Rattus norvegicus: one gene and its partner. The main gene of each other region encodes a partner of the protein of the gene in region 2 in a complex. Links are inferred from orthologs where the notes say so. Each region holds a gene or a part of one and is shown on either strand. Other genes may lie near its edges.

Region 1 (4,368 bases), on a different chromosome or scaffold from region 2:
ATGAAGGGGAGGAAGATGAAGGAGAATGAAGGAGGAAGCAGATGAAGAGAACAGGAGATCTCCATTCTATGTGATGGACATGTTTGCATGCCTGAATGAACTGTATTTTACCACTCCTCGACTGCTGGAGCAGAAGTAACCAGAAGGAGATTCAAACAGAAAATATTTGGGGAGTGAAGCTAGGAATTAACAGTCTAGCATATAAAAAAAACATAGATTGGGGTAATCCCCCAGTAATTGTGCAAGACCTTATTAAATAATTTATAGGATTCTGACTGGGTTGTTCCAGGGCTACCCGGGACTTATTACTAATGAATAAAGTTTATTAAAATCCATTTACATTCATGAAATTCTCAAAAAATAAAATTTTAAAGTTAAAAAAAAGAATTAGGGCTGGAGGGATGGCTCAGCGGTTAAGAGCACCCGACTACTCTTCCAAAGGTCCTGAGTTCAATTCCCAGCAACCACATGGTGGCTCACAACCATCTGTAAAGAGATCCGATGCCCTCTTCTGGTGTATCTGAAGACAGCTACAGTGTACTTATATATAATAAATGAATAAATCTTTTTAAAAAAAAAGAATTATAGTTCTCTGGGTTTTGTTTTCTTTCTTTTCTTTTCTTTTTTCCCCTCTGATTTCTCATTTGTGCCTCCCCAGTTATCAGACCCAACCAAAATCAAGAAGACCAGGGAGCTGGAGTGTTGTACCTCATAAAGGAGGAAGGGTGGCAAATGCACCGGGGAAATCAGACTTTGAAATACTCAGCACAGAGTTTCCTAGATTGCTTGCATTCAGACTGGCTCTATTTTCGTGTGTGTGTGTGTGTGTGTGTGTGTGTGTGTGTGTGTGTGTGTGTGTGTGTGTGTGTGTGTGTGTGTACACGTGTACGAATGTATGGAGGCCAGAAATTAAAGTAAGGTGTCTTGCTTGATTGCATACCACTTATATATTGAGGTAGGAGCCCTCAGGAAAGTCTAACAAGCCAGGTTGACTCATGAGTTCATTCTCAGCCTCTGAATGCTGGAATTACAGGTGGCTGCTACTAGGGGCATGCCCTTCCATAGGCACAATCCTAGATCTTTAGGTAAGAGCCAAATAATCATGGGTTGTTCAATATTTATTTACTGTTATATATTTATTAAACACGTTGTTCTAAGACTGTCTTTTAAACAGTGATCACACACACACACACACACACACACACACACACACACACATACACGGCCGGAGGGGCGATATTACTTAAAGGGCTTTCTTTAAATCTATAAAATCTATACAATTTAAGGGAGTATTTATTTTTCACTGATAAGAGCAGGAAAAAGCTGACTGAAAAACGCATTCTGGTGGTTTGACCCTCTCGCGTCTACGTAGGAAGCCTGCTAGGATTGCTTTCCCGGCAGTTTTCAGGTTCCACGGAAACGAAACCGCGTCCGGCTCCGCCCACCTGCGGGCTGGCCAATGAGGCACCGCCCGGGCGGTCCGCGCTCTGGGTGTCATGGCGGCTTGCAGGCCGTGCTGCTTGTGCCTGTGTCTCCGACCGCTGAGCTGCGGTCCCCTCGGCCGGCCAAGGCGGCATCGTGCACTCAGCTATTTGCAGGTGCGAGCGCTGTGGAGCGGCACCCGGTCCAGAGCAGTGACTGTGGACTTGGGACACAGGTGAGGAACCGTGTGAGCTCCCGGACTTTTCACGCAGTGTCCTGTTCAGGAAGCCCTGGTAGCCAAAAGTCCCCCGGGTAGGAATCCAGCAGCCTAAGTCTCTTTTAACCTCTCTTCTCCAAACCTAAGGTCGAGATTTCCTTTTCCAGATTTAAAGTCTATCTCCCTGGGCCCTCTCCCTTCCCACGCTAGCCGCTGCCCTTTGCCTCGTATCTTCCTCCTGGCCCTGCAGTGAACTTCCTGAGTCCTATTCTGCCTGTGCCCCTGACGTCCTTTCTCTGTATCTTCCGAGACCTCGAGCTCAGTTGTAAGAAACGTACCACGACCACCTCTAGGTAATGCGCTGTCAGTCCGCGACCCAGCTCCACTGATGGACAGAACCGAGACCAGTGTGAGCCGGAGTTGACCCTGTCTTTTTGTTGAATGCCATTTATAAGATGCACATAGTCCTGTTAAACCTGTAGTGTAGATACAGTTACCGTCCAACAAAAGGTCAAAAACGTAAATTTTTCAGTTATCAAAACAGGGGGTGGGAGATGAATATTTAAATAATTTTTTTAAAAAAATAAAAAGCTTTTCCCTGAAGCTCTACTTTGTGTGGCAGGCAGGCTGCTGCCTGTGTCCTTCCTTGGCATCTCTTTACTCTTACCATCACTGTTCTGCTTGCTCATTGTATCAGTCTTCTTATTTATGTTCATGGAGTATTTAGTTAGGTAGGCATTCACTCACATGGTTTGGCATATGGGAACTTCAAAACTCTTCCACTTATTTCCAAGTGCCCACTCCAAACCAGAGGCTACTATGCAGAATGGGTCATCTATGTATTTGGAGATATTTTATACATATAATGTTGAAAAGTAAATTGTTATAAGGCAAAGTGAACAGCAAAAAGAAAACTCATAAATATAATAGCTTCCTTGGAATAATCAAAATTACATGCTCCCCCCCCCACCCCAGACAAATCTGTCTGCCTTTTTGCATGCATTATCAGAATTCATTGGATAACAATAGATTCACACACTAACAATGTAATTTGCCAGGTAGTTCCATCACTAGTGGTGTTGCTAGATGTCTTTCTATGGGGTCCGGGTGAGGGTGTCATTCTCATTGCTTGGCTGTGTTTGAGGAGTTCTTCTACCCTTTTCATATATCCACGTGTTCACATTATGTTCCCAATATATTTGATAAGTTTAGAGGTCATACCTTTTTACTTTTAGAATTTAGGTATTTATATATCCGTGCCTTGTGGGTGGTTCTAGACAGGAGCTGGTGTACACTTGCAGAACACACATCTTGCCTCTGTATTTGGCCTTTACATGTCATAGCTAAAAAGACATTGTCTAGTCTGAGTTTATGAAGATTTACTTCTCTTTCCCCCCCCCCCCAAGAGTTTTATTTTATTTTATTGCTCTAAAAGGAATAGTATCTATTTTGAGTTTTTTTGTGTGGAGTATGTGACCATCTCAACATCTTTGACTGAAAAAGACTGGTTTTTCCACCATTAAATTGTCATGACAGCACTGTTGAGCATGAAAGTCTTTATTGTTGTTATTAAGTTTTTAAGCTTCAAAATGTTATTCATCAGAAGATGGTCTTTATTAATTTTAACAATTGTTTTAACAGGGAAGAAGAGAAGAGTTTGTGTATTAGGTTTATACAGATGCATTACCTTGGTTCCAATCATCTTTAAGCTCTTAAATATCTATGCTTTTGATGATCACAACTCCAACTTACTTTTTTTTCCTGATTATTGGGACCCTTTCATTCTGGTGTTTTGTTGTTCTTTTGTTTTGTTTTGTTTTCCCCTAGATTCTCCAGTTACTTTTACTAAGCAAAGCCTTGTACTGGTGTCATTTTATATTTTAAAAATTCTTTTTAAACAGAAAATTAGAAATATCCTCTGGAAAACTGGCAAGATTTGCTGATGGCTGTGCTGTGGTACAGGTAGGAAACCAGTCTTTGCTTTATTCATGGTGACTGGGTATCTTTGTAGCATCATAAGTCATCATTGTGGTACTGGGCGCTAGTTCAGACACTACTAAGAATATTTCTAGTGTCAGAACCATGCTAGGCCATCAAAGTCAGTGTTGTGTATATTAAATGACACTTAAATTCTCTTCCAAATTCTGTGGGCTATATTGTAGTCTGTTAAAATCCATTATGCTTTTTCTAGAAAAAGTGTTCTCACTATTATTTTAATTCTTAAAAATTTTTCTTTATAGTCTAAATTTCTTCTTAAAGAGTGAAAAATATGATTCAGTTTGTTGATGTGACTAAGCTGTTAGCCATTTCTTCATGTGAAAACATCAGTGAATATTCTAATACTGACCTTGGTCAGATAGAAAGGATCAAGACTGGACTAGTTGTGGTCACATGAAATGAGAGATCTTTCGTTGAGCCTGGCTTAGTAGTATAAGCATTTAAACCCAGTGCCCTGGACCTCTGTGGGTAGAAGTAGATATCTGTGAGTTTGAGGTCAGCATAGTGAATTTCAGGCCAACCAGGGCTACATAATGAGACATTATTGAGAGACAGACAGAGAAATATCTTCCATTGAGTTTATTTGGTGTGGGGATTCATTCAATTACTGTTTATACTTTAATGTCTGATTTCAAAGAAATTTACTGGTATTTTTGTATATGTTCAATCAAGTCAGGTGATACTGCAGTAATGGTCACAGCGGTCAGCAAAACAAAACCTTCACCTTCCCA
Region 2 (3,599 bases):
TGATAATGGTGCTGGTTATGGGGACTTGGTGTTGGGGTTTAAGTGACTTCATGGCTCATGGACACTCTTGTTCTAAGATGAAGTGGCTGTGATCGATGAAATCCAGATGATTCGGGACCCAGCCAGAGGATGGGCTTGGACCAGAGCTCTGCTAGGTGAGTGGTCTGCTGCTGCCTCTCTTCTCCAGAAGAGTTCACTTAAAAGTGTTACTTTAACAACAAAGAGTTCTGCTTTTGTGTGTTAGAAAGTTAACATAACCAAATGACCAAAGCAGAAATGTTTGAATCTCTGAGGGTGCAACCCAGTGGGAGAGCACTCTCCTAGCATGGGGGAACCCTGGGCTTAATCCTTAGCACAAAAATAAATAAATAGAGGAAGGAAGGAAGGAAGGAAGGAAGGAAGGGAGGAAGGAAGGAAGGAAGGAAGGAAGGGAGGGAGGGAGGGAGGGAGGAAGGAAGGAAGGAAGGAAGGGAGGGAGGGAGGGAGGGAAGTAATTTTGGGGCTGGGGATGTAGCTCATTTGTAGAGAACTTTCCAGCAGTCCATGCCTGAAGCTCTGGGTCTGATTCCCAGGATCATGTAAACAGGGTCTGTGGAGATGGATATTCTAAATGTTGTCCCATACTTGGGAGGAGGGAGCAGGGCCATCAGGACTTGGGAGGATTATCGTGGACTCACAGCTACTTCAGAGCCAACCCAGGCTACCTTCAGATTCAAAAGGAAAATGAAAGAGGGTGTGTCTAGCTGTAGTCACAGTCACTGCTGATGTCTGATGTGGGTCGTGTCAGCGTTTTTACACACACGGTGTCTAGGGACTTAGAACTTTGTGTTTTGCTTCTTTCCAGCTCTGTTTCACAGCTATTTTTTCATTCTGTGAGCGGATCCTTGTGGGTTTTGTCCACTGAAAAGCCCTACAGCAGTTTGTTTCCTGGGCTGAAACAGTCTCCCCATTACCAGCAGTGCTGCGGTAGAATTGTTGATGGATACAGCTTTTCTCTTGTGGGTTATTTTTAGTTGTTTTGTAAGATGGGGGTCCTAGAACAGGAGTTGTTGGGGCTCACAGGCATGAATGAGTGTGTGTCGCCTGTTTCTTGAAGTGATCCTGTTTCTTCTTTTCTTCTCCCTGACTCCTTCTTTCTTGCTCCCCGACTGCCCCCCCAAACAGGGATTCACTATGTAACCCAGGCTGGCTTTGACCTCTGGGTCCCCCTGCCCCAGCCTCTGAAGCGTTAGGGTTAGAGGCTAGTCCCACCACCCCTGACTTGGAATGATGATGGCTTCGGCACGATGTAGTAGGGCAGGTATTTTCAGACCAAAAACAAATGGCGGAGCCCAGAGTTTGCCTGTCAGACAGTATGTGAAAGTGGACCTGCTCGGGCCAAGGAGCTCGGAGCCTCTGTGCTGGCTCCATGCTACACCTGAAGCGCCTCAGCTTCTGTAGAGTTCCGGTTTGAAGAACACAGGCCCGTGACTAACACCCATCAGTCAGCATCTTAGTGCCGGCATCCAGTCCTGCTTGGCCTCACCTTACAGCGGTGTCAGCTGTGTTCAGAGCAAGTTAAGGCCTGTGCATTGGTAAGGCTGGGCTCTCTCTGCTGTTCAAAGAAGGCCGGAGTCAGAACCTGCAAACACTGGACAGGTACAGGGCTGAGGAAGGGGACGAGCAGTGTAAACCCCTCTATGCACCCACAGGACTCTGTGCTGAGGAAGTCCACCTGTGCGGAGAATCTGCTGCCATTGACCTGGTCACTGAGCTCCTGTACACCACTGGGGAGGAGGTGGAGGTAAGAGACGTCCCTTCCTTCTCTGGGCTGTGCCACAGGGCCGATGATCATGCCTGTGTGCCGCCTTGTCAGCTCCAGCCTGTCACAGTCAGAGCTGAGCTGTGGAGGGAGCACACATGAACAAAGCAGTGTGTGTGGGGGCGGCATAAGGAGCCTGCTTGCGGGCCGTCTGAAAGAGCAGTTTTAGTTTTTAAGACATTAAAAACAGAGCTTAGCAAAAAGGAAGTCTTTTTTTCCTCATAGCTGACTGGCTCATATACATATAGTTGAGCTTCATGTGGGAGATAGTTCATTTCCACAAGATTCCTTGTTTGTTTGTTTTGGGAGCTGAGGCTGTTTTTTGTTCTTGAGATGTATTCTCACTGTGTACCCCAGGCTGTCCTCAAATTCACAGCAGTCTCCTGCCATGCCTCCTGAGTGCTGGGATTATGGGAAAGCTGTCAGACTCAGCTTTCAAGCTTCCATTTTCTCAAAAGTCTTAGTCTACTTATTTGTGGTGCTGGGAATCCAACCAAGGACCGTAGGCATCTCTGTCTACACTGAGCGGCACCCACAGCTCATGAGCGAGTGTCCTCAGGACTAAGTCAGACCGCGAGTGTGCATTGTGCTCAGTGTTGCGTATCACACGGTGGGGCCTTTGCTCTTTCTCTCATTGTCAGCCCTAGTTTGCGTCCCTTTTGCAGACAGGAAGTTACAGTTAAGAAACTGGTTTCCTCCAAAAACTATCCTTATTTGCCTTCCCAGAATTCCTCAGTGGGAGAGTAGAATTGTTTTCTCATTGCTGTGACAAGGTAGATGAGGTAGCTGTGGAGGGAAGGAAGGACGGCAGGAAGGAAGGAAGGAACAACAAACAGCCTCCTTACAGTTTCGGGGTTAGAAGCAGATCAGCTAACACTGGTGCTTGGCTAGCTCTGCTTTTTATTGTCTCAGAACCCCAGCCAGGGGGTGGTGTTACCCACATTTAAGGTGGGTCTCTCCTGCTGTTAAACCTTTAGGAAAGATTCTCATATGGCACATCCAGAGTCTCTAAGTCCAGTCTGCCTGACAGTGAAGGTTAGCCTGCTTCTACAGAAATGAAGAAATGTGTTGGGCTGGAGAGATGGCTCAGTGGTTAAGAGCACCGACTGCTCTTCCAGAGGTCCTGAGTTCAAATCCCAGCAGATGGTTGTGAGCCACCATGTGGTTGCTGGGATTTGAACTCAGGACCTCTGGAAGAGCAGTCGGTGCTCTTAACCACTGAGCCATCTCTCCAGTCCCACTTATAAATCTTATAAAAACACTTCAGATGGTTAAGGTGTCTGGAATGACTAATTTAAAAAAGAAATGTCTTAAGTTGACCTGTTGCAGTCTCATGCTTTACTTGGAGGAAGATTGAACAGTGTGCAGTGGGAGAAATTCTGGATTCAAATCTTGGACTTTGCTGCTTAGGGCCCTGTCTGTGGCAAACCACAGAAGCCTGAAGAGGTGAGCCTCTGGCCTCGCTTTCACTGGACTATTTTACTCTGTCATAAAATGAAAATATTAGTAATAATCTTTAGAAGCTGCTACTCTGCCCTGAAAAATCAGTGTTTGTTAAAGTTCTTTAAGGATGTCACACAGTAATATTAACTCAGGGTGCCAAGAATTGACGGTAGCACAGCCTCCATCAATCGAATGAAGGTTTCTAGGTGCCTCCTGACTGTTGCTGCTTCACTGCTCCAGTGGAGTTTTCTCGGAGCAGTCCCTGTGCTGACTTGAGGGTGTCACTCTTCCACATCTGTCTTTACTGCAGGTTCAGAAGTACGAGAGGCTTACCCCCATTTCTGTGCTGGACCGT

Evidence for each region. The genes of interacting proteins can lie anywhere in the genome.
Region 1: Supv3l1 (region 2) and Pnpt1 share a complex: the UniProt entries of both Homo sapiens proteins name them as parts of the mitochondrial degradosome (mtEXO) complex. The link is inferred for Rattus norvegicus from reciprocal best matches to the Homo sapiens genes SUPV3L1 and PNPT1.

What each region holds. Positions count from the first base shown.
Region 1 is NC_086032.1:107,077,000-107,081,367, forward strand, and holds the start of Pnpt1 (polyribonucleotide nucleotidyltransferase 1, mitochondrial), read left to right. Parts: upstream 1-1,486; 5' UTR 1,487-1,496; coding exon 1,497-1,657; intron 1,658-3,540; coding exon 3,541-3,601; intron 3,602-4,309; coding exon 4,310-4,368. UniProt on the Homo sapiens protein: RNA-binding protein implicated in numerous RNA metabolic processes. Catalyzes the phosphorolysis of single-stranded polyribonucleotides processively in the 3'-to-5' direction. Mitochondrial intermembrane factor with RNA-processing exoribonulease activity.
Region 2 is NC_086038.1:30,928,147-30,931,745, reverse strand, and holds part of Supv3l1 (ATP-dependent RNA helicase SUPV3L1, mitochondrial precursor), read left to right. Parts: intron 1-77; coding exon 78-155; intron 156-1,691; coding exon 1,692-1,783; intron 1,784-3,211; coding exon of another isoform or gene 3,212-3,247; intron 3,248-3,554; coding exon 3,555-3,599. UniProt on the Homo sapiens protein: Major helicase player in mitochondrial RNA metabolism. Component of the mitochondrial degradosome (mtEXO) complex, that degrades 3' overhang double-stranded RNA with a 3'-to-5' directionality in an ATP-dependent manner.